Linked DNA regions of Pelodiscus sinensis. The protein of the gene in region 3 purifies or fractionates together with the protein of the main gene of each other region. This does not show direct contact. Links are inferred from orthologs where the notes say so. Each region holds a gene or a part of one and is shown on either strand. Other genes may lie near its edges. The genes, in order: UBN2, tonsoku-like protein, ASF1A and UBN1.

Region 1 (6,860 bases), on a different chromosome or scaffold from region 3:
AGTTTGTCCAGATCATTTTGAACTATGACCCTATGCTCTAAAGCACTTTACAGCCCCTCCCAGCTAGGTATCACCTGTAAACATAATAAGTGTACTCTCTATGCCTATATCTAAATCATTGATGAAGATACTGAACAGAACCAGTCCCAAAATGGATCCCCAATGAACCATATGCCCTTCCAGCATGCCTGTGAACTATTGACAACTATTCTCTGAGAACAGTTATCCAGACAGTTATGAACCCACCTTATGGTAGCCTAATCTAAGTTGTATTTCCCTGATGTAATGCAGCTTTAAACCAGTTTATCCACATGAATAGTAATATAAATTTACACTTAAATTATATTGGCATCGTTAAAGCAATGCAACTTTTTTTAAGTTTAGAGAAGGCTCTTGTCAGCGCAATCAGTAACAACAATGGCCAAAACTAATTTTTCATGCTTTCAAAGGGGGAAAGAGAAGTCACCTGCAAGCCAGATATGACTATTATGTTAACCGAATTACATATACAGAGACCTTAAGTAAAAACTGGACTAAAAATGCACAAGAACTCAGCTATCACAAACACTAAACCTCTGAACATTTAACATTCATTTCCAGCTCCCTCACTCAACACCATTTAATGTTCATACAGGAACAAAGATAGTAACTCTAATATTCCTTAGATCCCTATATGCAATATATAGGTTTTCACTACGAGCTAGCCATTTAAGTAACCTGAACTTGCACTGGACATTCACAGTAGCTGTAGGAAGGGACCTCATTATGAAAAGCAGATCCAAAAGAGATAGTCAGAATCTTCACTTCTAATTTTCTGAAATCCCTTGAATCTGAAGGAAGAAGTGATGCTATTTCTCCAAAAAGAGCATAAGGTCAAAGGGGTAGAACATCAAGATGTAGTATTGTCTCATTCAAAGGCTTTGAATGAGTACCCAGGGTTTATCTACCCCAGTGGTGGAAAACCTAAGGCCCGGGCTCAGGACTCCCCATAGCATTAGGGAGCCCATGCTAGCACCCCAACCACCACCCCTTCACTGTCCCACCATGGGGCTGGAGCACACAAATCTACTAGCCTGGGCCCCTGTAGGCTCTGATGTGTGAGGGGAATGTAGGGAGTCTCTCTCTCCTTCTCAGTTGGGGGCCATATCAGTAAGAGTTTGGGGAGGGGTTTGTTTTTTGTTTTGCTTCTCACTTGTGTGTGGCCTCGGACTGATTTTTCTGTGGACCAGAGGCCCTCAACGCAAAAAAGCTTCCCCATCCCTGATCACCCCAATGCTCTGGATGGCCAAGTCAAATGGTGCTACAGACAACGGTATTTACGCCTTTTGTAATCAATATATCCAGCATGACCAGAATTCTGTCATTCTGTCCATATTCTCAACCTAGCCCCACATTCCCAAAGAGAGAACATATACCCCAGTGTTTTCTATACCAATGAGAGGAAAAACAACAATTACATAAATCCTCTAAGTGACTTCACTACTGTCAGCACCTACAAAAAGCATTTGGATATGATAGGCAGCATTCAACACTCAAGAACTGGTAAGAACAGAATAGGTCTAAAGTATCTATTCTAACATTGCTCCACATACTGGTCTCTGATGAGCAGCAGGTGCAGCCTACCTTGCATAAAGCTTTTTTGTAATCTACTCTCCAGTTCCAAATGGGAAGCTTTTTCTGGAGAGTGCAAGGGCATGAGCCACCCATTTTGGGGAGGAGGTTTGCCCCAGAATTCAGAAGTTCTCCCCCTACTCCCCGATAAAGTGAAGTATTTAACAAGTCTAACATTCCAAATAAGCCTGAATCTACAGGGACATACCTCCAGCACTGCTACTGCTAACAGTGTACCTTTGCCAAGCCAAGAACCTCACATAAGACTGCCTCAGTTTCACCCTGCTGCTCAAAACCTTGCAGACAAGTGTGACCTGTCAGGAGCTGTCAGTTTCACTCTGCAGCTGTCTGAAAAAGCTCACCGCAAGAAAGGAAGCACTCGACCAACTTACAGGGAATAAAAACCTGAGAGAGGCATGCCCTGATAGTCAGGCCTCCTGACACAGAGAGGCAGCACTCTGGAGTCTAAGGAAGGGAAACTGTACTGAAACCAGCAGCCAGAAAGCGTGGAGATGGAGTCCTCTCCTCTGCACAGGGCATATGAAGAGTAGGGCACCTAGGCTCCTCAGCAACGCGCTGCCCGGTCCATCTCCAGCGGGGCCCACCCCCGGATTCAGAGGCGCCCAGCAACCTGCCGACAGGCTGCGGGCGCGGTTGGCTATGGGCCAGGCGCCCGAGCCGGAGAGAGGAGGCAGGCACCACACTCCAGGGACGGGGTTGGTCATGGGGTGGGCGCTGCGCGCGGCTCCCCGGGGAGGAGTTGGGGTCCCGTACCCGCGGCTCCCCGCACAGCAGCAGCAGCTCGGGGTAGCTGAACTCCACGCAGCTCTCCTCGGTGGGGTCCTTCAGCACCACCTCCAAGCGGACCGTCTGGCGCGGCTGTGGCGCCTCCTGCGGCGGCGGCGGCTCCTGCCGGCTACTCTCGCGCTGCTGCTGTTGCGGCGGCTCAGGCCGGGGGGGCTCGCACTGCTCAGGCCAGCTGGTCTCGCGCGGCGGCTCCGGCCGAGGGCTGGTCTCGCGCGGCGGCTGAGCCTGTGGTTCCGGCCGGGAGAGCTCGTGCGGCGGCGGCGGCTGCTCTGGCGGCGGCGGCACCTCGCGCCCTAGCAATAGCTGCTGCTGCTCCGGCTCGCGGCCCCCGAGCTCGCGCTCCAGCGACGGGCTCTCACCCTCGCGTCGCCTCACGGGTGACAGACTAATGAACGGCACCCGGCGCGGCTCCGCCATCCTCCGACCCCCGCCCCCCACTCACCGGCCCCCGCCTCACCCGTACGGCGACACTCCCCCGCCGGCTCCTCCTCCCTCCCTCCCCACCCGATCGGAGCTGCTCCCTACGTTCGCCTCGCTGCTAGCACCGCCGCCATTTTGGAGCCCCCCCACATAAATAGAAGCAGGCTGCTGGGCCGCGCATGCGTAAGACAACGTGGGCCCTGGTTGAACCGCCCCAAGTCGCTGTTGTTATTGCTCATCGGTTACTACGTCACGGCAGCCCCAGTGCCCACAAGCTTCTGACGCCAGCTCCCGCCCCCAGTTGCCTTGGAAATATACACGCTGCCTGCGGTAAGGCTCTTAAAGGGCCACGAGCGCAGGTTACCCGGCGCAGGGGTTCGCACAGAGCCTGCCGGATGGCGGAGGCGCCGCGCCGTGAGGCCTACGTGACCCGGGGCACGGACATGGGCAGCACCGCGACCCCCGGGGCGGTCCTGCAGCGCTAGACGCAGGGCCCGGTGCCGGGCGCGCCGCCGGAGAGGTCCCTCCCTCAGCTCTCCAGGGAGCAATGGGGCCACCTCAGCGACTCGGCCTGCTCGGGGCGGGCGCGTGTGACGCGGCTGGGGAGGGGTGGGCGCGCGAGCCGCTTCAGCTTCCCGGAGCGCCCTCCGGCCCCCGGCAGCCGAGGTGAGTCCTGCCCCTTGCGCGAGGGGGCCGGGAACCTCAGCTGTCACCTCTCCGACTGGAAAACCGGGAAGTGTCCCGCAGAGGAAAGACCGGAGAGAACGAGATCACTAGGACGGTGGCAGAAGATGTTTAATAACCAAAACGGTTTTTTAAAAAAAATACAGCCCCTGGAAAGGCGGTGGCGGAGTGCCAGGATGAGTACAAAAGATTAGCACGTGGATGTTACAGCTACCAAAGGACATAAAAGGCAGTAAGAAGTGAGGCTAAAATACTTTGAGGAAGGAAAATGTAAGACCTTTTTTCCATTGGTGAGTTGTGTGAATAACAGATGGCCCTAAACAGGTTGAGGTGTTTTAATAATTTTTTTTCAGTCTTCACTAATAAAGATCGTGACTAGATATGTTAGAAAGAATACAAGCCAGAAGAGAAAAACAACAGGTTACAGTATTATGATAAATTAGATATATTCAAATTGTCAGGGCCTGATTAAATTCACTTCATCTTAACTTAAGGAACTCCGTGAGGCAAACTTGGCACCATTCTCTTTGAGAACTAAATACGTGAGATGTTGGACCTCATTGATCCAGCACTCTGGGGATCTTAGCAGTCCCCGATTAGGGAATTTGCTGCACCAGGGCAGGTCCCCTGCCTCTGGCTCTCTCTGCCTGCTGTCTTTCCCTACCGCTAGCTCCTTCAGTCCCCACTGCTGGCCTGGCGACACGGCTGCCCCCGGCCCTGCTGCCAGAACTGCTGCTCCAGTCCCACTGGCACAGCAGTGCGCAGCAGCACGCAGCCCTGGCCTGCTGCTGTAGCACCAATCCTGCTGCCAGCCAGCATGTGGCCCCAGATGGGCTTCTCTTGGTGTCCTTACTGCCAGCCAGGCTGTTGTGGCTCTGTCCCCACTGGCAGGCTGGAACCAGTCCTGCTCATGTTGCTGCGGCACAACCCTGCTGTCAGGGCAGCATGCACCTTACTGCACTACTGCCATTGGTCTGCTGAGGCTCTGGCCCCACTACCACCAGCCATGCCTTTCCTGGGTCTCTCAGCTGCTGGCCCTCCTGCCCCATGACTCTCTCGTCTGGTATCCTGCTGGACCACAGATGTTGCCAGACAAGAAAGTCCCAGTTTAGGGAGATGCAACCTGTAGTAAAATCTTTCCTTTTTTGTCCTCTCTTTTTGTAAACTAATAACAAAAGGGGAGGGGAAAAAGAGGGAAGAGATGACCACTTATTTAGCACAGAATCAAGATGCTGAGAGTGTAAACCAACAAACCAAAGGACATAAAATGAATACATTATTTCATTGGTTAAACACCAGTGCTAGGAGCTTGGGTAAAATAAGTAGATTTGGAATTCCTCATTTATGACTCTAAATTTGATAGTTAGTATTACTGAAACCTGGTGGCATGAGTTGTACAACTGCAATGTTAGAAATGAATGGTTATAAACTGTTTAGGGATCAAGTGGGCAAAGCAGCACAGGAGTGGCACTCCAAAGGGCACTGCCTGCTTCTGAGTTACTGATAACTTGGAAGAAATAATCTTAAATGCTTGTGGCTTGATGTTCAAGCAAATAAAGTACACAGTGGGCTATTGGTGCCTCTTACAGGCTACCAGTTCACAGTAAGAAACAAGGTGATTTGATTCTGATACATCTCTCTATACTGAATAGGGAAAAAAGCGCTCAGTTATATTGGATCAAAAATTGAATATGAACATTGAATATGATACAATTTCAGAAAAGGCAAATATTCTGTATCTTGTGTATTAACAGGAGAGTCATGTGTAAAACATGGGAAGTAACTGTTCCACTTTATGTGGTGTTGGTGATGCCTCAGGGGAGGTGTCCAGTTTGGGGCACCATACTTTGGGAAAGTTGTGAACAAATTCAAGAGAGTCCAGAGAAGAGCAACAAAGAAGATAAAAGTCTTGACCTATGAAGAAAGGTTTTAAAAATGAGCATGTTAAATCTTGAGAAGCAAAGACTGAGGGGGAGGAGATATAATAGTTTTCAAATATGTTAAGGGATATTATGAGGATAGTAATCTCTTGTTTTCCATGTCCACTGAAGGTACGACAAGAATAAATGTGCTTAGTATGGAGCATGGGACTCTTAGGTTAGATATTGGGGGAAACTTTCTAACTAAAAACGAGTAGTCCTATGGCACCTTAGAGACTAACCAAAATATATAGAATCATGAGCTGTCAAGGGTAAAACCCACTCTATGAATTAGAAATGCACTGGAATGAAAACAAGTAATATATAACAGCAGAGGTAACTGTTAATTGTAGGACCTGTGTTAATGAGACTAATTAAGCGGGTGGGTCATACAATTGACAGGCACTTCTGTTTTTATCTATGTCTATCTTGGTTTCTGTTATTTCCTTTTTGCGCAAAAAAACCCTTTTGCACAAAATCATTATACCTCCTTTTTTGAGGCATTAGGATCTTGCGCAAAAGAGTTTTTTGCGCAAAAAGGAAACATCCACTCTGCTTGTTTTAGCGCAAAAACCCCTTGCACAAAAACAGAGCAGAAGAGATTATGTAAATGAAGCACGAGAAAATGCCAATCTGCGCTTCATTTGCATTGCCTCTTCCGGCAAACATTGTAGTGTAAACGTAGCCTTAGCCCTTAAGGCAACAGCGCAGAAGTAAGGGTGGCATAATATGGCACAGGAAATAGTGTTGATAGTAAGTGACTGAATTACCGAAAAGTCTTTTTACAGTCCAGGACGCCTGCCCCTGGCTAAAGGACCTCCACCCCTCCAGCATATGGGGAGGATCCATTGAGCCCAAAAAAATCAAATGAATACTTAGGACAAGTAAAAAGAAAATAGACCAGTGTGATGGTCAAAGCCTGCCTGAGTAGGATACATGATTGGTATAAAAAGCTATTCTATTAGGCCACCTCATCCGGAGGCAGTCTAAAGTTGCAAATCAGTCTTTGAAATGTTGAACTTTGAAGCCAGGATATTGTGTCTTATTTATATTCACAGTCAAGCTTTAAACAACTTAGATGAGTCACAGTTTTGTTTTAAGCAGCCACCACACCCATCTGTAACATGAATATGAAGGATTATCCTTCATAAGGAATTCTTTTTAGCAAGACTTGAAATGGAAACTTCTGAATGCAAAGGCAATAGTTGTAAAAGAGCTGTGAACATTCTTGCTTGAGGCTTATAAGTAACACAGTGTACAAAATGTATATTATAGATATTTTCCCTATAAGGGATCTTATGCAGGTATTAAGCAAGCACAGTCTGACTGCTTTTGAAACTAGATGAGAATAAAACTGGGCAAATTCATACCAGAATAGACTGCTTATTAAGCAGTTAGTGATTGCTTCTTCAATGTCAT
Region 2 (7,355 bases), on a different chromosome or scaffold from region 3:
GACACGGGCTGAGATTCAACATGCCGAAGCAGACAAGGCAATGGGACTTACGGTCTAATTAGAAGAATTTCGGCTCCCGGGGGGGCTGGCCACTAGGTGACGAGGAGCCACCAATGCGACGCAGCCAGGAGGCCGGCAGAGGCTCTCGGGCGAGGGCTCTCCAGTCCCTGGTCGGTACACAGCTCCAGAAGAGCAGCCCCGGCAAACCCAGCGCCACTGCCCGACCACAGATGTGACGTCACCCAGCAGCCGGGCAGAGAAGAGCCGCTGGGCTCGGCTGAGGCGACCAGAGGGCCTGGCTCGGGGAGCTCCCCCAGAGAAGGCTGCAAGGGCAGCTCCTGGCTCTCTGGTGATACGCCGGGAGGGGAGCCCCAGGGAGGGGCTGAGCTGGGGGTCGAAGGAACACAACCAAGGGCCCTGAACCAGGTCAGCCGACAATGAGGAGGAGTTCGGGGGAGGGGAGGTTTGGGAGCTGCCTCCCACCGGAGACAAACTACGTTGCTAGGTTTGGGGGGGACTCGCCTTCGTGCGCAGGGTGCGGGTCACTCGCCAGGGTTCTCCATCCTCAGCAGGAGAAAGGTCGGCTCTGTGGCCGGCAGCCTCCCCCAGCTGGTCCCAGCCTGCGGCCTTCTCTCTCCAGTCCCCAGGGCCAGGCACCCCTCCTCCCGCGCGGTTAAACAGCCAAGAGCATGGCACCATGCCCGGCTCTGGAACCCACCGGGGGCTGCTCCTGGGCCCCGGGCTCCCCACAGGAGGACAGAGGGGAGCCCCATGCAGACGCCTCTCCGGAAACAGCACGCCCGGCCCCCTGCTACGCTGGGCATCGGAGCCGACGGGCCAGCGACCGGCTTCTACGGATCCCAGCCCACAGATCCCACTCGGCCCCTGGGCGTGGCAGGGCCTCATGCTTCCAGCTCCCCGCAGAGGGAGAACTCAAGGGACAAGGCAGGGCCCCCAAACCTCTCCAGCCCCCCCCCGCGCCAGCCTTGCCATCAGACAGCCAGGAGCGAACCGGCCACCCTCAGCACCGGGCCAGGCCCCGCTCACCATGTCGAGCCAAGATCTCCCCAAGCTGGTTGCAAAGGACAGCTTCCTCCTTGAGGCTCCCGCTCCTCTGGGCCTTGTCCTTCGCCTTCTGGAGCTCTGGGGGCGGCAGGAGAGGGACCCTCAGCCCTGGCAGGCCCACGGTCCTCGGCCCTCTGCCTAGGGAGCGCCCGGCACAGGGCCCCAAGGCTAGTGATGGGGCCTTACTCCTGGGCCCTGCCCTCTTGCATCTGGCTCCAGCTCCCCCAGCCCATCAGTCCCAGCTACACCCCCGCCAGCCGCAAAACCCCCAAACCCGCGAGACCAGCCACCTCCCAGCCCCACCACTGCCCAGCCCCCCCGCCCCCAGTACCCGCCCAGCCCCCCAGTACCGCCCAGCCCCCCAACACTGCCCTGCCCCCCAACACTGCCCTGCCCCCCAGTACCGCCCAGCCCCCCAACACTGCCCAACCCCCAGTACCGCCCAGCCCCCCAACACTGCCCTGCCCCCCAGTACCCGCCCTGCCCCCCAGTACCGCCCAGCCCCCCAACACTGCCCTGCCCCCAACACTGCCCAGCCCCCCAGTACCGCCCAGCCCCCCAACACTGCCCTGCCCCCCAGTACCACCCAGCCCCCCACCACTGCCCAACCCCCCAGTACCGCCCCGCCCCCCAACACTGCCCTGCCCCCCAGTACCGCCCCGCCCCCCAACACTGCCCTGCCCCCCAGTACCGCCCAGACCCCCAACACTGCCCTGCCCCCCAGTACCGCCCCGCCCCCCAACACTGCCCTGCCCCTCCAGTACCGCCCAGACCCCCAACACTGCCCTACCCCCCCCCAGTACCCGCCCTGCCCCCCAACACTGCCCTACCCCCCCAGTACCGCCCCGCCCCCCAACACTGCCCCTACCCCCCCCAGTACCCGCCCTGCCCCCCAACACTACCCTACCCCCCCAGTACCGCCCAGACCCCCAACACCGCCCCGCCCCCCCAGTACCGCCCAGACCCCCAACACTGCCCTGCCCCCCAGTACCCGCCCAGACCCCAACACCGCCCTGCCCCTCCAGTACCGCCCCGCCCCCCAACACTGCCCTGCCCCTCCAGTACCCGCCCAGGACCCCCAACACTGCCCTGCCCCCCCAGTACCGCCCAGACCCCCAACACCGCCCTGCCCCTCCAGTACCCGCCCCGCCCCCCAACACTGCCCTGCCCCTCCAGTACCGCCCAGACCCCCAACACCGCCCTGCCCCTCCAGTACCGCCCCCGCCCCCCAACACTGCCCTGCCCCCCAGTACCGCCCTGCCCCCCAACACTGCCCTGCCCCCCAGTTACCGCCCTGCCCCCCAACACTGCCCTGCCCCTCCAGTACCGCCCAGCCCCCCAACACTGCCCTGCCCCCCAGTACCGCCCTGCCCCCCCAACACTGCCCTGCCCCTCCAGTACCGCCCAGCCCCCCAACACTGCCCAGCCCCTCCAGTACCCGCCCAGCCCCCCCAACACTGCCCTGCCCCTCCAGTACCGCCCAGCCCCCCAACACTGCCCTGCCCCTCCAGTACCGCCCAGCCCCCCCAACACTGCCCAGCCCCTCCAGTACCGCCCAGCCCCCCAACACTGCCCTGCCCCTCCAGTACCGCCCTGCCCCCCAACACTGCCCTGCCCCTCCAGTACCGCCCAGCCCCCCAACACCGCCCTGCCCCCCAACACTGCCCTGCCCCTCCAGTACCGCCCAGCCCCCCAACACTGCCCTGCCCCTCCAGTACCGCCCAGCCCCCCAACACTGCCCTGCCCCCCAGTACCGCCCTGCCCCCCAACACTGCCCAGCCCCCAGTACCGCCCCGCCCCCGATCGCCCCCCCCGCGGCCCCCCCGCTCACGGCGGATCTCCCGGCTCCGCTCCCCGCTCATCCCGCCGCGCCGGGTTCGCGCCGCGCCCGCCCCTCCCCAGAGGCGAACGCCATTGGCCAGCAGTCACCGCGAGAACAGACCCCATAGCCAATCACAAGCCGAGGCCTGCCGGCCCGCCCACCCGCTCAGCCCGCCCCCCTCTCCTGATAGGCTGCAGCGGAATCCATCCACGGGGAAACCTGCCCAGCGAGCTGCGCTTGCGCGGGACCCGGCACTACAGCTCCCAGCATGCCCCGCGAACGCGCCCTGCGCGGGCCCACAGGGCCGACTTCCCGCCTGGCTGAGGCTCGCACGCGCCGTAGGCACAGGGGCCGCGCTGCATGCCGGGATGCGTAGTCCGGCCAGGCCCTGGCCCGCGAGCGTGTCGGCCGGCGTGTCCGGGCAGGGGCGGGAGCAGCGCCCTGGTAGGTAGGGGCGGGGCTGCTCGGCCGGGCCCCATTCACCTGGGGGGGGGGGATGCACCCGCACCCCGACCCGGGCTGCACCCCCCCCGCCCCGGGGCACCCCGCTCCCCCCGGCCGGGCTGCACCCCACTGCACCGGGGCACCCCGCTCCCCCCCCGGCCGGGCTGCACCCCCCCGCCCCGGGGCACCCCGCTCCCCCCCCGGCCGGGCTGCACCCCACTGCACCGAGACACCCCGCTCCCCCCGGCCGGGCTGCACCCCCCCGCCCCGGGGCACCCCGCTCCCCCCCCCAGCCGGGCTGCACCCCCCCGCCCCGGGGCACCCCGCTCCCCCCCCCGGCCGGGCTGCACCCCCCCGCCCCGGGGCACCCCGCTCCCCCCCCCCGGCCGGGCTGCACCCCTCTGCACCGGGGCACCCCGCTCCCCCCCCGGCCGGGCTGCACCCCAATGCACCGGGGCACCCCGCTCCCCCCCGGCCGGGCTGCACCCCTCTGCACCGGGGCACCCCGCTCCCCCCCCCCGGCCGGGCTGCACCCCCCCGCCCCGGGGCACCCCGCTCCCCCCCCGGCCGGGCTGCACCCCACTGCACCGGGGCACCCCGCTCCCCCCCGGCCGGGCTGCACCCCCCCGCCCCGGGGCACCCCGCTCCCCCCCCGGCCGGGCTGCACCCCACTGCCCCGGGGCACCCCGCTCCCCCCCGCCGGGCTGCACCCCACTGCACCGGGGCACCCCGCTCCCCCCCGGCCGGGCTGCACCCCACTGCACCGGGGCACCCCGCTCCCCCCCCGGCCGGGCTGCACCCCACTGCACCGGGGCACCCCGCTCCCCCCCCCGGCCAGGCTGCACCCCACTGCACCGGGGCACCCCGCTCCCCCCGGCCGGGCTGCACCCCCCCCGCCCCGGGGCACCCCGCTCCCCCCCCCGGCCGGGCTGCACCCCACTGCACCGGGGCACCCCCGCTCCCCCCGGCCGGGCTGCACCCCCCCCGCCCCGGGGCACCCCGCTCCCCCCCCCCAGCCGGGCTGCACCCCCCCCCGCCCCGGGGCACCCCGCTCCCCCCCCCCGGCCGGGCTGCACCCCCCCGCCCCGGGGCACCCCGCTCCCCCCCCGGCCGGGCTGCACCCCTCTGCACCGGGGCACCCCGCTCCCCCCCCCCGGCCGGGCTGCACCCCCCCCGCCCCCGGGGCACCCCGCTCCCCCCCCCCGGCCGGGCTGCACCCCCCCGCCCCCCGCTCCCCCCCCCCGGCCGGGCTGCACCCCCCCGCCCCGGGGCACCCCGCTCCCCCCCCCCCGGCCGGGCTGCACCCCCCCGCCCCGGGGCACCCCGCTCCCCCCCCCGGCCGGGCTGCACCCCACTGCACCGGGGCACCCCGCTCCCCCCCCGGCCGGGCTGCACCCCCCCGCCCCGGGGCACCCCGCTCCCCCCCGGCCGGGCTGCACCCCACTGCCCCGGGGCACCCCGCTCCCCCCCGGCGGGCTGCACCCCACTGCACCGGGGCACCCCGCTCCCCCCCCGGCCGGGCTGCACCCCACTGCACCGGGGCACCCCGCTCCCCCCCGGCCGGGCTGCACCCCACTGCACCGGGGCACCCCGCTCCCCCCCCCGGCCGGGCTGCACCCCCACTGCACCGGGGCACCCCGCTCCCCCCCCGGCCGGGCTGCACCCCACTGCACCGGGGCACCCCGCTCCCCCCCCGGCCGGGCTGCACCCCACTGCACCGGGGCACCCCGCTCCCCCCCCGGCCAGGCTGCACCCCACTTCCCCCCGAGCCGGGCTGCACCCCACTTCCCCCCGCCCCGGGGCACCCCGCTCCCCCCCCCCCGGCCGGGCTGCACCCCACTGCACCGGGGCACCCTGCTCCCCCCCGGCCGGGCTGCACCCCACTGCACCGGGGCACCCCGCTCCCCCCCCGGCCGGGCTGCACCCCACTGCACCGGGGCACCCCCGCTCCCCCCCCGAGCCGGGCTGCACCCCACTTCCCCCCGAGCGGGCTGCACCCCACTTCCCCCGGCCGGGCTGCACCCCACTCCCCCGGGGCACCCCGCTCCCCTCGAGCCGGGCTGCACCCCACTTCCCCCCGAGCCGGGCTGCACCCCACTGCACCAGGGCACCCAGAGGTACCCCTGGCTGGACTATTCCCCAATGAACCCCGCACCCAGCGGTGCCCCTAGCCAAACTGCCCAAGTTGCGCTGCCCAGTCAGTCAGGCCATGCTCTGGCCATGGAGCGGGTTCAAACCCCTCTGGGGCGCCAGTCTGCCTCCACCAGGGGCATGTCACCGCGCTGGGCCCGCTCACCTGGGCCCCTTGCTGCGCTGGGTGTGGGGGGGGGGGGTGTTCACACCCCCTAAGCCAGAAAGTTCCAGTGCAGGAAAGCGCCGGTTAGACCTGACCTCAGGTCCCACCCGTGGCTACTGCCCGTCCGTTGTTCTAGCCCAGCGCCTGGGGTCGCAATCCGATGGCCCAGCTGAGAACAAAGGCGCCTTTCCATCCCGCTGCGCCGTGACGCCCCGTACGCAGAGGCCGGAGATTCTAAGGAAGTTCCTTTAGTGAGGCTCAGCTGGGAGGGGGGACGCAAGACAAATCCGACTCCCGCACACGGTCCGGTACTGGGGAGGGGTTGAGAACCGCTGCTTTGCACGGCTGTAAACCCACCCTGCCCCGACAATGGAATGGTCAGATCTTATCTCACCCCCCTTTCAGGCTGTTCATGGCACCCCACCACGGAGACACTTGTCATGCGGTTACAGCCCTGTGCTGTGAAAGGCCCATGTGCATGGAGATCGAAGTAGGCCCAGGCATATTGTGACCGTATTCCTGTCACCGAGGCATGGCTTAATAATGCTCTCGCAGACATGGCAAATGGTAAACCTGCAAGCATGGAGTTTGACGTGCCGGCTGCCCCACGTGATGCTCTGCCCAGGGCGGCACAAATTGAACTGATGCAAATAGAGAGGCCCTTGCAGAATGCGGGGAGGTCTACGCTATTCCAAGATCTTTCCGGTATGCTGAAAGAGCTGCTTTGCGTCTTTTGAGCAAGCCTGTTATTTCAAAATAAAACAGGCACGCTATTCCGACGTCCCTGTAAACCTCATTCCACGAGGCATAAGGGACGTTTTGGAATAGCACTTTATTTCAGAATTTGGCACTGCAAAATAAGCGATTTGGAAACTAACTCAAAATAAGCTAGGCAATTTGCGTAGCTCAAATTGCCTAGCTTATTGTGAGCTAAGGGTGCAGTGCAGATGCACCCTCATTGCGCATGCTGGTCACAACACCTATATTAACTATTACAAAAAACAGGACTAGGTAGCACTTTAAAGACTAACAAGATAGTTTATTAGGTGATGAGTATTAATCTGAGGAAGTGGGTCTGGCCCACGAAAGCTCATCACCTAATAAACCATCTTGTTAGTCTTTAAAGTGCTACATTGTCCTGTTTTTTGTTTCAGCTAGACAAGCCTAACACGGCTATATCTCTGTTACTATATTAACTTTAGCTGCACCGGAAACAAAAATAGCTTGACACATTCCAGAGGATAAAGTAGAAAAAGTCCAGTTTTAAGGGGACTTGTACAGTATCTCATCGGAAGTATTGACCAGACACCAAAAGCTACTGCCATTTTCTATAGTCTAGCATCCTGTAGCAGATAAAACCCGAAGTGAGTGTAATATCTGTCAAAACAATGTGTGATTGACTCTTTGACTAACTTTTTTAAGCAGCAGGGAGCAACCGGCCTCCACCGTTAACCCTCTGATCTGGTGGCGAAACCGTGCTGCAGCCAGACTAGCAGGGAGACAAAATGACTGAACCCGACAAGAAAAAGAGTCGAAGGCTGTGCACATTTAAAGACGAGTGGCTGCAACGGCCAGAGTATCGGAATTGGCTTATAAAGGCAAGCGACGACTCGGGCTACTGTTCTGTTTGTCGGGTGCAGCTCACCGTCAAGTTTGATTCTGCAAAAGCTATCAAGCGCCATGCAGAAACAAAGGGTCACAAAGTCAAAGCGCAAGGACAGGGATGGG
Region 3 (7,802 bases):
AAACCAGAAAATATCAGACATGTAAAATGTCCGGTATTTTCTGGGTTTTTTTCCGGACAGAAGGCCACTTGGGACATTCGGGAGTGTAGGATTTAAAGGCGTCATGACTTTTTTTGTGGTTTTTTTTTTGTTTGTTTTGTTTTGTGCTCAACTAATTTTTTCCCCCGCCATGTTCAGTATTTTTTGTGAAACTATCTGGGAACCCTACTGATAGTATAAAACAGATTAGGAATCATATGGGGGCACGGTTACAGGAAGTAAATGCTCTTTCAGAATTGTATGCAAAAAGGGTAATTATCAAATCCTATTAGGACTCTGTGTCCAACAGTAACTTTTAAAATTGTTTTGACTAAATAGATGAAATTTTAAAATTAAATTGGCAAGTGATTGGTCTGCTTTGGAGAAAAAAGCACAATAGATGACTGAGATATTTAGTGTTTGGACATTAAAGCAAGGACACAACCTTCTTCATAAAATGATGAAGATTATTTGAAGATTATTTGTAATAATAATCATTGTAATGACTTCTATGAAAGCTCAATAGCTGTGGCCATATGGAAGTAGATGTGGTGATTGTGATGTACCTCTACTTTTCATTCTCAGCTGAACACAGGGATAATAGTGCAAAAAAATGAAGTAAACTTCTTTTTTCTGCTAATTTATACACTAATCAACCTGGCCCAACTTTCATTTAAATCAATCTGGTGTTGAGAGTGATAAATACAAATGCACATACATAGGAAGAGAGGGCTGAAGCTCTTTGCAGCATTGGTGGCATCCAAAAAGTCTTAAAGAGTAACACCATGGAAGCCTTGTTTACACTTGAGAAATCTTTAAAAAATTTCTCACTGGCTCAGCACAGGTGTTTACCATGAATCCCTACAAAAAAATGGCAGCTACTTCTCCAACTAAAAGAAATGGTGAACAGCACTAATACTAGGGTAGCAGTAAGATAATTTAAGCAAGTCTTAATTGTACACAGGGCCCTTATGGAGAGTGCCAGCAATTATGATAGACCAAAGGTGGTGGTGTTTTCTGTGATGTGGACACTTGCTCCCCATGGAACTGGTCTCACCAAATGCATTTTGTGTTAAGTCACCAATACATAATAAAGTAGCAATGACTGAAAGTTACAGATTTGGACTGGATTTGTATTAGTGGCACAAAGATACAAAACACCCCACATATCCCATTACCCAAGCTTTGAACTGTTTAGTCACCCATAAAGTAAAACCAGAAATAAGTAAGTTTATTTTCCCCTACTGCTTAAAATGTTGGGATCCCCAGGTATCACATGTCACTGACAGTGTTAGGGTATAAATAGCTCCTAATGGTTCTGCCCTCTTCATGGGGGACACAAGAAAGCACAAGCTGAATGCCTTGTGGCCAAAGGTACTCCCACTCCTCCCTCAAATGCTTAAGATTGGTCACTAGCCTGCTTCATTCACCTGTTGTGCCAGTGCTCCTGAGGGAAGCTGGAGGAAGCTTGCTCCCTTCTTTTAGTCCAGTGGTGAGACCAGGGGTCCCAGAGTGCTCCTCTGGCCAGAAGAGAAATGGATTTTACTTTCTGCTGTAAACATCTTGTTAACCTGCAGCACTGGCCCAATGCACTGTAGGACCACTGCTGTAAACCTTTTTGGACGATGCCTGTGGATTGCTAAAGTATTTGGTAAGAGTAGCCAGCCCTGGAGGCGTCGCAGCTGAGCGACACAAGAGGTTAATGTCTAGTCCACCCCCTTCACTCAGGAGTGGGTGGATACATGCTGACCGCACTCCCTGCACAACGCACCCCGCTCTGGGCAGGCTGGGGAGCAAAAGACTAGGTTTGAAGACAGAACCTGAGATTCCTAGCTGGCAGGACATAGCAGGGTACACCTACACCCCCAGGCTACCACCCAACAGCAACTTTCAAGTGAGTTCTAAAAATACTATTTCCCTCCCCCGCCCTCCCTTCCTCTCTCTCGGGGCGGGGAGTGTTAATAGCCGGAATAATACTAAATCTGTAAAGGGATTCAATCGGCTAGTTTGATTATTTTCAGACATTTTGTAAAATACTAAGTGCTGCAGCTACATTTGAATCTCTACTTGGAGCAGCCCACCCCTCTCGAAATATTTCCCCCCAAAGTATTCGAATCGATTGTCAAGACAATGAAAATATTTTATTTCTTGGGGGTGGGGGGTGTTCTCCACTTTGTGCAACCTTTCGGCAGCATTCCTCTTGGCTCTGCTCAGCAACAGTTCACTTCAGCAAAAGGGATGCATGAGAGATGTGCTCGTTAACCCCCTCCCTCTCTCACACACACACAGACACACACAAACACAAAGCTGGCAACATGGCTACCACCACTCAAACAAGTTCCTGGCAACTTAAGCTTACGTTATAAAATGCAGGGTTTGGATCCGAAATACAGCAGCACTCAACTCTGCAGCAGAGGACACAATAATCAACTTTCCTTTGCCTTTCAGCCTAACCGCGTCAGCCTAAGACAGAGCATTTCTAAGCAGCATTTAGATGCCTGCCAGCACATCCTTTCATCTAGTCACACCGAGACAGAGAAAGAGAAACTGTTAAATAGTAGAACCAGGCCTTTGCAAAGTTTAAACCGTTTAAAACCTGAAACTAATAGCCCTGGTTATAAAATCCGTACTGGGGAAAAATCTACTCACCTTCAGACAGATCCTCTATGCATTCAAACGTGATTTCGAATTGAAAAGGATTGTAGAAAGGCGAAGGATTATCCAACACCACTACATTGTTCACCTGAACCTTTGCCATATTTTGAAAAAAATACAAACAATAGGAATAGGGGGTTAATGCAGCACAGTAAAGTCCAATGTGTTGTTTTTTTGTAAAGCACACACTCCAGTGCCAGTACTTGATCAAGGTTGTAGAGCTGTGACTTGAGAAACTTTTTTTTTCTTTTATTTACAATAGGAACACTCCACACTGTTTTGCAGCTTTCCTATTTCACTAAACTACAGCCCATTCTGCTCTGTTAACTGGCAGCGTTGGCACTGATTGGCTGCACACTGAGCTATGACCCTCCTCCTGAAGCTTCCTGAAAGAACAAGATGGGCTCCTTTGCTCTGAATGGACTGAAAAACATTAGCTGCTGCTCCACCTGCTGGCCCAGAGTAGGAAAAAGGCTTGGAACAAAGTGACTAGCATAAATGAAACTGGGAGGAACTAATGAATGAAGGATGAGCTTGTAGTCTGAGTTTGAGTACTGTGCTCACAAAATATGTGCAAGGCACCACTGGATGGAGTTGGCTTTTTGTTTTTCCTCTCCTTGTTTATTATCCCCCTCCCTTTTTTCTTTTTTTCCAAATCCAGGTTTTCTTCTCTGTGTGGCCAGATGATGAATAGAATTATTTCATTAAGGAAAACATAGTTGAAGTTGCTGATTTTTTTTTCTCTTGCTAGTTTTAAATCTGTTTACCCTCATTGACTTTATTTCTGCTGTATAATGGTGCATTTCAAATAAACCCATGGGATTTAAGGGACCAGGCCTGAAATCTTTACATGAGAAGTTCTTGCTGAGGGCTTGTTCACACTTAAAATGAAGCAGTGCAGCTGCACCATTGTAGTGCTTCAGTGTAGACACTAACTACTAGGGATGCTAAACTGCATTTAATTAACTGTGTAACCACTAAAAATTTCAGTAGTGGTGGGGGGCAGTTGGCTCCCACCTTCCCCCCGCCCATGCTGCTGCCTCTGAAACAGAGGCAGCAGCATGGGGGGCAAGAGGACTACTCAGCTTCTTGAGAGCCAGTGCGCATGGGGAGCAGCTTTTAAGCCAGCTCCCCACACATACCAGGAGCCTGCATGTAACTGTGAAGGTTAGTGGATGAGCCCAGGTGATTATGCATTCACATCACTTCTAACTACATGGACGACAGAGCTTCTCCCATCGGTGCAAGTAATCCACCTCCCCAAGAATTGTTCTGTCAATGTAGCACAGGTCTACACCAGGAGTTCAGGAGGTCAGTATAGGAATGTCTTTGAGGGGTGGTGGATTTTTGACATCCTTGAGAGACATAGCTATACCAAAGTAAATTCCTTCTGTAGACCAGGACTTATACAATTAAAGTCTTTGATGTCAATGGCTCTCTTCACTTGACTTGAGAGTAGGCAAGAAATGGCTGTGGGATCCAATTTGTTATGTTTGAAGAGATGCTAGATAATGAGGTACAATGAGCTGGAACAGTCCTCAAGGTCCATATGGAAGGGGCCTCTTCATGAAGATCTCACTCTTTGCTCATGGAAGATGGGGCAATGACTCAGATAAGTGGCACCAGGCCCCTTCCCTCTAGCCTCTGGAGAGAGTAACTGGCAGGGTCATGGATCTGTGGCTGAGAAGGAGCCAAGATGAAAGACTGCGTGGAATGTCACTCACAATTCCCTGGGAAATCTACTCACAAATAAATACAGGTTCAGTTTGTATTAATTTCTGAATTGAGCCCTTGAGTGTAATGGAGTGTCTTATCTAAGGCAGTATTTCAGAGGATACTGCCTGCATGGAAAGTCTGAGCAATGCTGACAAGGAGCCTGTAGAGATCTGGAGAGCAGTGCTGGACGCAGAGATTCTGTGTCTTCAGCAGATCCCTGAGGGTTGCAGTGAGGTTTCCTCTCAGAGGCTCCCTCTTGTATGTTCTTCCAGAGCAGGGGACAATCTTGGTCTGTATTTACAAAGAAATTATACTGTCCTGAATATGATCTCGACTGTTTTTTATGCTTCTCACAGTGCTGGAATTTACTTCAGTTTTTATAACTGCTATTTAAACAGCCAGATGACATTGTCTACATTGTACTGTGCTTACTAGAGTGAAGCAAAGTCCAAGAGATCAGGGAGGATGAGACAAAATGAGAAAGATTCATCATGGCCAATCTCCCTAAAAAACATGTAGTGTGTCAGTAAAACAATTCTATGCTTATTAATTCTTCACTGCCTATTGGAAGTATGGAACTGCACTGACAAAAACTGCACCAGCCAAAGGGTTGGTGGTTCCTGGGCTCCATTAAGATCTTTGAACCCATTGCCGTTCTAGCAAGATGATCTTTGGATTGGATGTGGCCCTAGCATTCCATAACATCTTTAGGAGCTATGGAGTGTGGGGCATAGGACCATGTGTGATTCAAGCAGTAATGGAGTGTGGGGGGAAAGAGCTTGGGAGAAGGAAAGGGAGGAACTTGGCAGAAGATAAAAGAGAGATTAGGAGGGGAGAAGGGGAGTTGCAGATGTTTAAGGATGGATGGCCATCCTAGTAGTTGTAGTTGCAATCTCAAATCCCCTCATATTACATAAATACCTACTGATAGCATTATCCTGAAGTTGTTAACTCCTCTTCAGAACTAAGTGTTATTAGAGAAAAGAACTGACTTGCTGGAGAAAGTGAAAATTGAATAGTCTTGATATGTAAACAAGAAATGCATCAGGCAGAAATTCAAACTCTTCAGGGTCTCAGTGCTGTGAGGCTTAATTACAGCACGTCACAATCAGCTGCGTCCATTTGCAGATGCAGTGGGGAACTTTTTCTTTGGTTTCAATACCCATGGATTCCTGCTCTCATGTTTCACTTAAATTGGACATTCAAATGAATCCAATAAACAAAGAGAAACTTTGTCAGACCCAGTTCACAGGTTTGTGGAAACAACAATCACTTCTGCTTCACGAACTGAGGAGTTGGTCTCTGTGGAAAGATATGTTAAAATGATTTATTTTGCAGCATTTGTTGAATGGTCTTTTTTTTTTTTTTTGATGCCTTAAGTGTTGATAGTGGATCAGTTGTGTTCCTGGCATAACTTTGCTAATAGCATTGAATTTGCACCAAAAATTAATTTGATACGACAGATTTAGTCCTCTCTCATTCTACTTCCTTTTGTAAATTGTTCATATCGTAAAACCATCACCTTAAAATGTGGCATGCTTGGCAGATTTTCCTGCCATTACCTGGATTGTTATAGAGGGGATGTTGTACCAGCAGGTCTGAATTGAGGTACATTAGCAGAACTCTTTGGTGAAGCTTTTAACACCATATCTTGGGAGGTGCACCGTCCCCTTATTCCCCTGTCAAAATTTTAACTTCTAAATGGGGTGCTTTCTCTCCCTCTTCCTGGCACTAGCTAGTTTATTTCATCCCTCCCTTTCTTTCAAATGCACACATACTTTAAAAAAATATTAAATTGGAATGAACATTCTTCAGGTTTGACGGTAACTGCAGTAAAGGATTCTGGAGAATGGAATTTGGAAGCTGGTGCACTCGTGCTTGCAGATGGAGGTCTTTGTTGTATTGATGAGTTTAATAGCATCAAGGAACATGACAGAACCAGCATACATGAAGCAATGGAGCAACAAACCATCAGTGTAGCTAAGGCAGGGTAAGTGACATTTAAATGCATGTGATGAAATAACAAAATGTCTTTTCTCTCAATTCTGAAATATAAAAATAAATGTTAGATGTAGGTTTCCCCCGACCAATTTACATATTTCTTTACTATACTATACAGTTTTGTTTTAAAATTTCAAGGGAGACTCCTTTGCGCCCCTGTCAAGTTTATTCCTGGTGGTGGATTTCTGATGACCACCTCTCTTTTGATTTAACCTGTGTCCAGGTTGGAGCTTACAGCTCAGTTCAGAGTTCTTTTCAGCATAACCGCAACTACCTACTGTGTATATAGGAGAAATAACCTCCGAAGTGTTGTGTGGGCACAATTCTCTTGGGTCAAGTCTCACTTTACATTAATCTTATACAGACACAACTGCCCACAGCTAATATAATAAATATAGTGGAGAATAGATTCTTGTGTTTCTAGCCCAGACTGTTGACTTCCAAATGTGAGTCAAGGGTAAAATTAATGATTTCTGTCTAAGCCTGGAAACAGACTGAAAAATATCTGAGAGATAAGATGGGTGAGGCAGCATCTTTTATTGGTGGGAGAGACAACTTTTGAGCTATACAGAGCTCTTGTTCATCTCTGGGAAAGGTACTGAGAGTTGTAGCTAAATACAGGATCAAAGAGATAGCTTAGTGTAGGTAATTAGCGCATATTCTAAGTACCCAACAAAGGTGAAATGGCCATCGGGTCAAAAAGGGGGCTAGTGGGTTACAGATTATTATAATAAGCTCCCCCCCCAAAAAAAGCTTCAAATCAGGAACAAACTGCCTCCATTCACTTAAAGTAGCCCTCTGAAACCCAATGAACTTAATTTCAATGCTGTTAACCATTTAACTGCATAAACCTATAGCTAACAACCTTATCACACAGTCCCGATCTTTTTTCTGTGGTTTCTGGGCTCCTTTGCCGTGTCTCTGACAACTTCTCATAGGTAGCTGTATATTTGTTGTCAGTACAAAAATCTGTAGCATAATGAACATTAAACTTCATAGTGGAGTAGAATAGAGTGAAATTCATTTTCAAAATACATAACCCCTTGGTACAGAGCATCTCATTTCCATATTTAATTCAATATGGGCAACTCCAACAAGGTATCCTGGCTGCTCCTCTTTGAGCAGGCTAGTGGAGGTCACCAATGCCTAAGACTTAAGGTGGGCTGGGGTTCCCTCTGCATCAGCACCTTGTGCCAAATTGGGCGTGGTCTGGAGTGAAGAGAGAACCTGGCTCACTAATGTTGCTTTTTTGGAGGGGAAGCAGAACACAGTCAGCCTAAACAATTGTACTCTTCAGAATGGTATTTAACTGAATCATAGAATCATAGAACACTAGAACGGGAAGGGACCTTGAGAGGTCTTCGAGTTCAGTCCCCTGCCCTCATGGCAGGTCCAGGCACCATCTAGATCAG
Region 4 (7,853 bases), on a different chromosome or scaffold from region 3:
TTGGTGGTCATAACCAACTTTTTTTAAATTGGTCATTTTCTTCCTTGCTAAATGACTATTCAGGAAAATAACAAAACTAAAAATTACTTTAAATATTTAAAAAAAACAGTGGTGGGGGGAGGGAGTTGCCAACATTTCAGTTCCAGGAATCTGGAGTTATTTGTAGCAATAGGAGGTATATAATTGTCAGACTAGTGTGACTTCTTTCATTTTGGTACATGCCCTTCATCACAAAATGCTGTTTAATAAAAAAAGTGGTTTTTGGTAGGCTTACCACCGCTGTGATCTCAAATGCACAACAGTCTTCCCAAATATACAAGCAACATTTTGTGTCAAAATTCATAAAGAATACTTTATGAATGACAGAAATAAAACCATTTTATATTCATGACAGGAGAAACTAGAGACCCAAACTATGCCTGAAAAAAGTGACTGTTACACTACTGTTAACCCAGGTTCACCTATGCCCATGCAAGTGATCAACTACCAAAAACTCCATTATAGCAGCACTTAAAATCAACACATGCTTGCAGCCTTCATACACCCACATGAGAAGATGTATCACAGACCAATAGTTAAAATAAAGAGAATAGAAGGCAATCTTCCTCAGAGCTACACCTTATTATGCTAGCATAAAACTCTTTTAGGAAAGCCCTATGATTTAAAGAGCAACATTCTCATCAGATGAAGAGAGTGGGTACATACTGATCTTCTGTTCCAAAGAACTTCACAAAGAAGCACTTCTTTCCACGGGGTTTCTTCAGGTCTTTAGGCGGATTAACAATCTGAGGAGCAAAGAGAGGAGACAGTATTGTTTAGAGAGGCTGCAATAGCAGTCTGTGGCTTTTTCACGTTTACAGTATACATCTGCAAGAAACCCATTTCATGGGTTTTGCTAAAATATATTTTTAAAGCAAAACAGTGGTGGGGAGGTGCTTCTACTTGTAGCAAAGGTCTTCCACCCAATATACACAATCCATATATTTCTTTATGTTACTCACAGCACTGTGCCTAATGTTAGCATCAATTATCCTGTTGCATTATAGACTTAGCCTGCTATTTAGAATATAATATGGGACTTCTAATACAGCTGTTATGAATTCCATTATTTTCATGGCTTTTTTTTTTTCATTTTAAATAGTCATGTCTTTGGGTGTTGGGAGGCTTTTAGACCTGAGAAAGAAGGCACGTGTGAGTAAAGACGAACAAACCTTCTCTGTAAGCTACAAAGTTATACCTGTGATGCACAACACTGCACAGTGGAATTTTAGAGAGGCTTTATTGTGCAAAAAGATCAGCAACATGAGGCTCTCCCTATCCTCCAGGAGTAAAGTCTCTTTTTAAAATTTGGAAAGCGAAGCTGGGTTTATAGAGCCATGCTCCCGTAAGGAAACAGTCACTTAAGGCCTAGTCTTCAGTACAGAAAAGGATGCATTTCAGGGTTAAAATGCAAGTGAAGACAAGGTAGCTGTAGTTTTAATACAAGTTAGAAGAACAAGTTAATTCTACACTCCCATAGTCTTCACACAAGTTAGCTGGTCAAGTTAAAATGTACAAATTGCTTTGTCTTCAAGTTAAGCTAGCAAGTTAAGAACACACTTCGTTCTTTGTCATGAAGAGAACACCTATATTTGTTAGGTCACCACATTTACCTACATTAAAAAACAAAAATAGAACACTTTTTTTTAGTACTGCATCTGCAATCTGACTTAAAAAAAAAAAACCTTTCCATATTCCTGAACTTTTTATCCACAATCACCCTATGTTTTCTCCTGAAAAACATGACAAAACTGTAACTTTAAATATTAGTTTGAGAATCTGGACTCTCTTTTCCTATTTATTACTTAAGACCGTACATGTAGCCAATTTAGGCAATTTATTGGGGGGGGGGGGGAAGAGAAACCTGTCTTGCAGAAAGTGATAGGGATTAAATTGCTACAACTGAGGGATACAATCAGTTGCAAATTGGTTTCTACTGCTTTTTATTCCATCTGAATGGACAGTTGCTACTGACAGACTGAACTTCTGAATTACATAAAATTCCTGATGCATAGTCTGGTTGAAAACTGAGGCTAAACAGCTTCTTAGCTAAAAATCAAAGAAGAAAACTATAAGGATCTTAAATCTTCACTAGAATTATTTTCATGAACTGCTCCTTTCAGGATAGAAACACACTCACCTTTCCTGGCCAAGGAGGATACCGGCCCAGCTTCCCCCTGAAGAAAAATGAAATGATCAGCCACTAGCATCAGGAATGAGAATTGCTCCACTTTTATCTGTGTCCTCTACAATTTATTTCCAATATCCAGCACTTACATAATATAACCACAAGACCTACCAAGACAAAAAGAATTTTTCAGCTTGGAAGAACACTCACCAATACTCTTATCTTTCAACAAGTGCCATGTGAGCAAACTCCTATACCATGGTGAGCCCCAATGAAGTCTGCATGGGTCCAGACAACCACGCAAATGAAGCTCATTACAGGATCAGGGCCTAAATCATTAAGAAAAGAGGTGGCAAAGCTAGCACCCAAAAGATCTGTATTACAGTTCTTAGTGCTTTGATAAGACTGGATGTCATTTTGTTCCTCTCTTACAAATGACTAGTTTACTTGCCTGCATCAACATGAAATTCAGAGTTTGGGTGGATAACAAGACGCTTCACGACAGAACAGATGAATAAGCACAATAGCCATATGTTTCCAATTCAGGTAGCTGTGATTCCTAAAATGTACTATTTTATAACTTAAGACAGTAATTCCTATATCAAAGGTCGCAAAATTACTTCCATTATCACCCGTTTTTCCAGCCGCTCATTGAACTACTAAGATTGGTAAAACATACTGCAGGCCCACTAGAAACAGAGAAGTTTATTTCCTGCCTTTGCCAGTTTCATCACAAAGTATAAGCCAAACCATTTCCTCACAGACTAGGTGGGGAAAATCGGCATCAGCATGAAAGCCTAGTCCTTCTACGCCTGTCATTCAGACAGACTACAAATGTTCACAGAACCTTATCTGGCATCAGTCTCTGTCTTGCATGAGACTGGCAAAGGATCCGTATCAAGTACCTGAACTAAAATTCTCAGCAAATAGCACATCAACATCCATGAGGTGAAGATTCCAGAGAGGGCAAGCTGGTAATGGCAGAAACACTGCTTAGAAGGACACTAACCAATACCATGACTTTCTGTTACTGTCGCATTGATCCATTCTTCTTTTATCAAGTTTTTTCTGCTTTCCCATCTTCTTCCAAATCTTATGGCTGCAGTTCTTTCTAGGTGGGCCTAGCGGCTGTGCCTTGACTATATTGCCATGTATGAAACTCAAGTTGGATGATCTGTATTCAGAAACATCACTAACAGCAGTGCACTCCCCAACCACTCATTTGAAACAAGTTCGGCTAAAGGAATCAACCTTTACTTACTTTGCTATATAAATTAGACAGCTTCACACCACTGTCAATGTTTCGGATGAGAAACTGCAGTTGTCAGCCTGGACCACGCACTTCTTTTTATCTGGGATATAAATATAAATGCATACACTTGCGTGTTGGGGATTAGCTATTTGTTGCAGGACCTAGTGTGATGTCTACCCCGTCACTCAAAGCGAACTAGAAGCACAGTAAAACCTGTACACTTCAGAACAGTACTAACAAGCTTTGAAGGCGGTCCCATAAATCCTCATGGGCTGTAAATATGGAGGCCATGACTCCTCAACTGGGTTTGGGGATAAAGCAGTGGTGACAGGGGAAAGTTGGTCCTGTGAGCTCCAACAGGTTACCCCAACCTGGAAAAAAATCCCACTCCTGTATTATATTGCTTATCACATAAATCACTCCTTAAAAGCAGAACCCAGATTTTAAAGATCACCCCTTCTTTTCACTAGTCTCAGCCACCAAAGGATGACTCCCATATGATCAACACCATCCTCCAAGGAATCACTCCATTACCCCTCTTCCTCCACCTTCACTGTTCTCTAGGTGGTTGCTTCACCCTGCCCTGTAGTTCAAAAAAATGCTACAACAATTATTTTCCAACCCTTTTATTCCGACAGACTCCCAGGCAACAGCACATGACCCGTGTTACAGGTGAAGCCTATGCCATATTCACTCTGAAATAGAGCCCCATTGCACTGTAGCCCACCCTGTCCTTAACCCAGTAACGCCAGGCCAAGCAAGTCTCTGGCTCTATTCGCATACCCCGAAAGAGCCTCTGTGGCCCGTGTAATGCCCCCCCCCCCCAGTGATGCCTAGACAAGAGCCCTGCACCATCCCATCCCATCCCTGACACGACTCCAGACTGCCACCACCTCTGCAAGCGCCCAGCTGCCACCCTGCCCTGCCCCGCTCACAACCGCCCGGGCCCTGCACACGGGGAAGGCGGGGCTCGCTCCCACCCCCCGCATCAGCGCTTCAGGGTGCGCGAGCCCGGCTTGCCCGCCCCGTGGCTACCGCTGTGCCCCTCCCCCGGTTGCCCGCTATCGCTACGCGCACCCCGGGAGCGCCCCCGCCCCGGCACCACCCAGCCGCAGCCCCGCCCCCGCTCTCCGCTCTCTGCCTCCGCCCCGGTATCACACAGACCCCCCCCGCCCGCCGGCAACCGCCAGCCCCGCGCCCCAGTGGCCCGCCCCGGCCCCCACACTCACCACACCAGGTCTCCGAGCCGCAGACTCACAGCCGCCATCTTACCGACTCAGCCAGCAGCAGCAGCGCGGCGCAGGGGCTGCCGGGACGGGACGGGCACCGCCCACCTCGCGACCAGCCTCCGCGGCGGGGGCGGTGCCGCCGGGATAGGGCAGGCCGTGCCACGTGACCTGGGCGCGCTGTCACCGCGCCGCTCCCCCGCCCCCCCCCCGCGCGTGACCGCCTTCCTCGCGCCCATTGGCTTCCGGCGTAGCACGCGACCCTCTGTGGCCGCCTCCGCGCGGGCAGCGCCTCCGGCACGTGACGCGGGAGCAGGGACCGGCCCCGGCCCGGGAGTGCGCCGAGGCGGCGGAGCCCGGAGCGCTGGTGAGCCCGAGCGGGGCAGGGCTTGTCGCACAGCCCCTCCCCCCCCGCGCCTAGCGGTGTGGCCGGGCCAAGCCCCGCCCGCCTCCCGCCGGCCGGTCCCTCCCCCTCTGGCCCCACACGGGGGTCCGCGGGCCCGGCCCTGCTCCTCCCTCCGTTCCGCCCGCGCCGGGCCCGACCCCTCCCCTCCCTGCCGGGGCCGCGCGGGCCCAGAGGACCGTTACTGGCCCCGCTTGCCCGCCGCGGGCTCACCCGGGAGAGGGGACCCGAGCGCATCCCCGGGGCCGGTTTCCCTCTCTCCGCCCCCTGCCTTTGCTGGGCGCTATCGGGGTATCTGGCTTGGCGGGCACGTCCCCCCCCCCGGCAGTCCGGGGCCCCGTCCCCCTGTGCGTGGGTCAGATGCCCGGCCTGGGGCCGCCTGGAGCGGCTGGGACACAAGTCCCCCCCCAGGACTGGGGCGCGGAACCTTATTCGAGTGGGGGGCTGTTGACCCACAGGAAACCCGTCAGCGGCTGCACACAAGTGGGGGAAGACACCCCACACCCTTCACTCAGGTGGGCCCTGACTGGGAAGGGGAAAGACGCTCCCCACGTTCCCCTCGCACACCAGAGCCGTAGGCGGCCCAGGCTAGTAGATTTTGTGTGCTCCAGCCCTGGAGAAGGTTGGGGGTGGGGAGGGCTGGAGCTCCAGCCCGGCCTCCCCAAATCTGAGGGGAACCCTGAGCCTTGGGGACCAGATCCAGGCAAGCTGGGGGCTGGACCGTAGGTTCCCCATCACTGCCTCTAGGGGCTGTGTAGTGTCTGAGGCAGCTGCTGGCTTCCCCTCATTGGTTTGTGGAGCATTGAGTTTGTGACCCCCACTATGCTACGGGGGGTGTCACTTTCTGAGCCAGGCCATCAGCTGTCACTGACATTTTTTGAGCCAGTACTTATGTCAGCTGGATTTTTGAGGGGGTAGGTGGGTGTTCCCCTTAAATCCTTTTTGTTTTAAGCTGGATCTTTGTTTTCTTTTCTAATCAGAAATGTCAAGAAGATTCTTTGGGAGGCAGTCTCGTGTGCGCTGACCTTTAGGCATGGACCAGGCATCAGACAGTGGCAAGCATGTGTCTGAGCACAGTGCAGAGGAAGGGCAGGTGCATTTGGCTCTCCTGGCATCTTGATAATTGCCATCCAAAGCAAAGCGCTGATGCAGCGTGGCGTAGCCCAGACTGACGTTTGCGACAAAGGCGTGTTCAGTCATATTAAAACTGGTTTTCTGGAGGTTGCACTGTGCACCAGGTTATTTCACTCTGCCCTGTAGAAATGGAGTTGCACAGCGTTCAGGCGGCATCGTTACGGATGGGCAGGTATTAAAATGTAGGGGACTGCGAATTTTAGAGTTGTTTCTGCTCTGAGAATCAGCCTTTCTCTGAAGAATGCAGCAAGCTGTGAGACTGCCAGCTACAGCTATTTCTTAGGGATCTCTAATTCCAATAATCTTTTCTTCTTCCAATGTGCTCTTATCTCCTTAAACATCTGTTTGTCCTTTAATTGAAATCCCCATGTATGCACATGCACAAAGCTTCACCAGAACTTCTCTGAACTAATGGAAACCATGCCATGAGACCTGCGAAGACTTGATAATAGCCATGACGGAGCCCCACAGGGTTCAGTTCACCTCTTTGCCAGGCCCGCTAAGCAACACTTTCTTGAAGAAGCCTCGTAAAGAGGAGGCTGCAGGAGCAGAGCAGCCCCAGGACTCATCTGCATCAGCGGTTCGCCTCACACTCACTCTCTTTGAGCCAGATCACAAACGTTGTCCAGAATTCTTCTACCCAGAGCTTCTAAAGAATACTCGAGGGAAAGTGAAAGGTGTTTCCTCAGGTGACAAGGTGAGCATCTAATAACGTTCCACTTTTCAGCTAAGATTTCAGAATGCTCATTCTTTTTTGCCCATCTCCCAAGAGCATTGCCTGTATTAAGGATGAGCAAACTGAGGCTCAGAGTGGTGAAATAGCTTGTCAATGATCACAGACCTACTTGGTGATAGAACTAGGAATAGAAACCAGGACTACTTACTGCTAAATATGAACTCTTACTACTGAACAATATTCTCTTGTTATTTTTGCCTTATTAGAATTTTCCTTGAAATGACTTAAAGCAGTGTTTGGAAAGCACAACAGATAATGTCATAATGATGATTTGATTCGATACAGACTGAATGCAGTGCTTTGTTGGTACCAGGATTGCTTGAAACATGAATATTCATAAAAGAACATTGAAAGTAGATCTCCTTAACAGCTTGTACAATGGGAGCCTCTAGACGGACTCATACTCTACATAGATATTTCCATTTGAGTATTCTCTATTGGTACCTGCTTTTGTATATAAGTTGTTGTCAGTTAGCAGCTGAGGAATCTGCCAGCCAGTAGTGAGTAGGGAACTTTATACTTAAGAGGTCTTACCAGTCAGTTTCAACAGAAGCAAAACTTTCATTTTAAAGAATATAATTAAAATGTAAAGTGCTTCAAACTTAAAACTCACTTACATGCCAATTTTCTTCCACAATTTGATCTGAAGAAGTGTGTCTGGCCCACGAAAGCTCATCACCTAATAAACCATCTTGTTAGTCTTTAAAGTGCTACATAGTCCTGTTTTTTGTTTCAGCTAGACCAGCCTAACATGGCTACATATCTATTACTGTTCTACTTTTGTAAAGCATTTCTAGAGCTAACCAACAAAAAGTGCTTTGCAAGAGCAAGAATTGTTGTTAATGTTACCTGGAGAAATATTGACTGCAGTGCTGCTGCTGGTAACATTATGGTATTGCTTGGGAAAACTAACACATTCCCGTCAGTTGCATAGT

What was found.
Region 1: the proteins of ASF1A (region 3) and UBN2 purify together in Homo sapiens (affinity purification with mass spectrometry; 3 studies listed by BioGRID and IntAct, counting the BioPlex papers as one, with this or other methods). This does not show direct contact. The link is inferred for Pelodiscus sinensis from reciprocal best matches to the Homo sapiens genes ASF1A and UBN2.
Region 2: the proteins of ASF1A (region 3) and tonsoku-like protein purify together in Homo sapiens (affinity purification with mass spectrometry; 4 studies listed by BioGRID and IntAct, counting the BioPlex papers as one, with this or other methods). This does not show direct contact. The link is inferred for Pelodiscus sinensis from reciprocal best matches to the Homo sapiens genes ASF1A and TONSL.
Region 4: the proteins of ASF1A (region 3) and UBN1 purify together in Homo sapiens (affinity purification with mass spectrometry; 6 studies listed by BioGRID and IntAct, counting the BioPlex papers as one, with this or other methods). This does not show direct contact. The link is inferred for Pelodiscus sinensis from reciprocal best matches to the Homo sapiens genes ASF1A and UBN1.

Annotation. Positions count from the first base shown.
Region 1 is NC_134711.1:87,635,709-87,642,568, reverse strand, and holds the start of UBN2 (ubinuclein-2), read right to left. Parts: upstream 3,019-6,860; 5' UTR 2,836-3,018; coding exon 2,386-2,835; intron 1-2,385.
Region 2 is NC_134712.1:957,271-964,625, forward strand, and holds the start of tonsoku-like protein, read right to left. Parts: upstream 3,012-7,355; 5' UTR 2,928-3,011; coding exon 2,897-2,927; intron 1,144-2,896; coding exon 1,048-1,143; intron 1-1,047. Other genes in the region: uncharacterized protein LOC102461747, read left to right, coding at 7,133-7,355. UniProt on the Homo sapiens protein: Component of the MMS22L-TONSL complex, a complex that promotes homologous recombination-mediated repair of double-strand breaks (DSBs) at stalled or collapsed replication forks.
Region 3 is NC_134713.1:84,927,965-84,935,766, reverse strand, and holds the start of ASF1A (histone chaperone ASF1A), read right to left. Parts: upstream 3,004-7,802; 5' UTR 3,001-3,003; coding exon of another isoform or gene 2,936-3,000; 5' UTR 2,777-2,935; coding exon 2,668-2,776; intron 1,539-2,667; coding exon 1,449-1,538; intron 1-1,448. Other genes in the region: DNA helicase MCM9, read left to right, coding at 6,205-6,379. UniProt on the Homo sapiens protein: Histone chaperone that facilitates histone deposition and histone exchange and removal during nucleosome assembly and disassembly.
Region 4 is NC_134726.1:5,831,047-5,838,899, forward strand, and holds the start of UBN1 (ubinuclein-1), read left to right. Parts: upstream 1-4,853; 5' UTR 4,854-5,012; intron 5,013-5,021; exon of another isoform or gene 5,022-5,563; intron 5,564-6,028; 5' UTR 6,029-6,636; coding exon 6,637-6,879; intron 6,880-7,853. Other genes in the region: GLYR1 (cytokine-like nuclear factor N-PAC), read right to left, coding at 706-785, 2,180-2,216, 4,649-4,686. UniProt on the Homo sapiens protein: Acts as a novel regulator of senescence. Involved in the formation of senescence-associated heterochromatin foci (SAHF), which represses expression of proliferation-promoting genes. Binds to proliferation-promoting genes.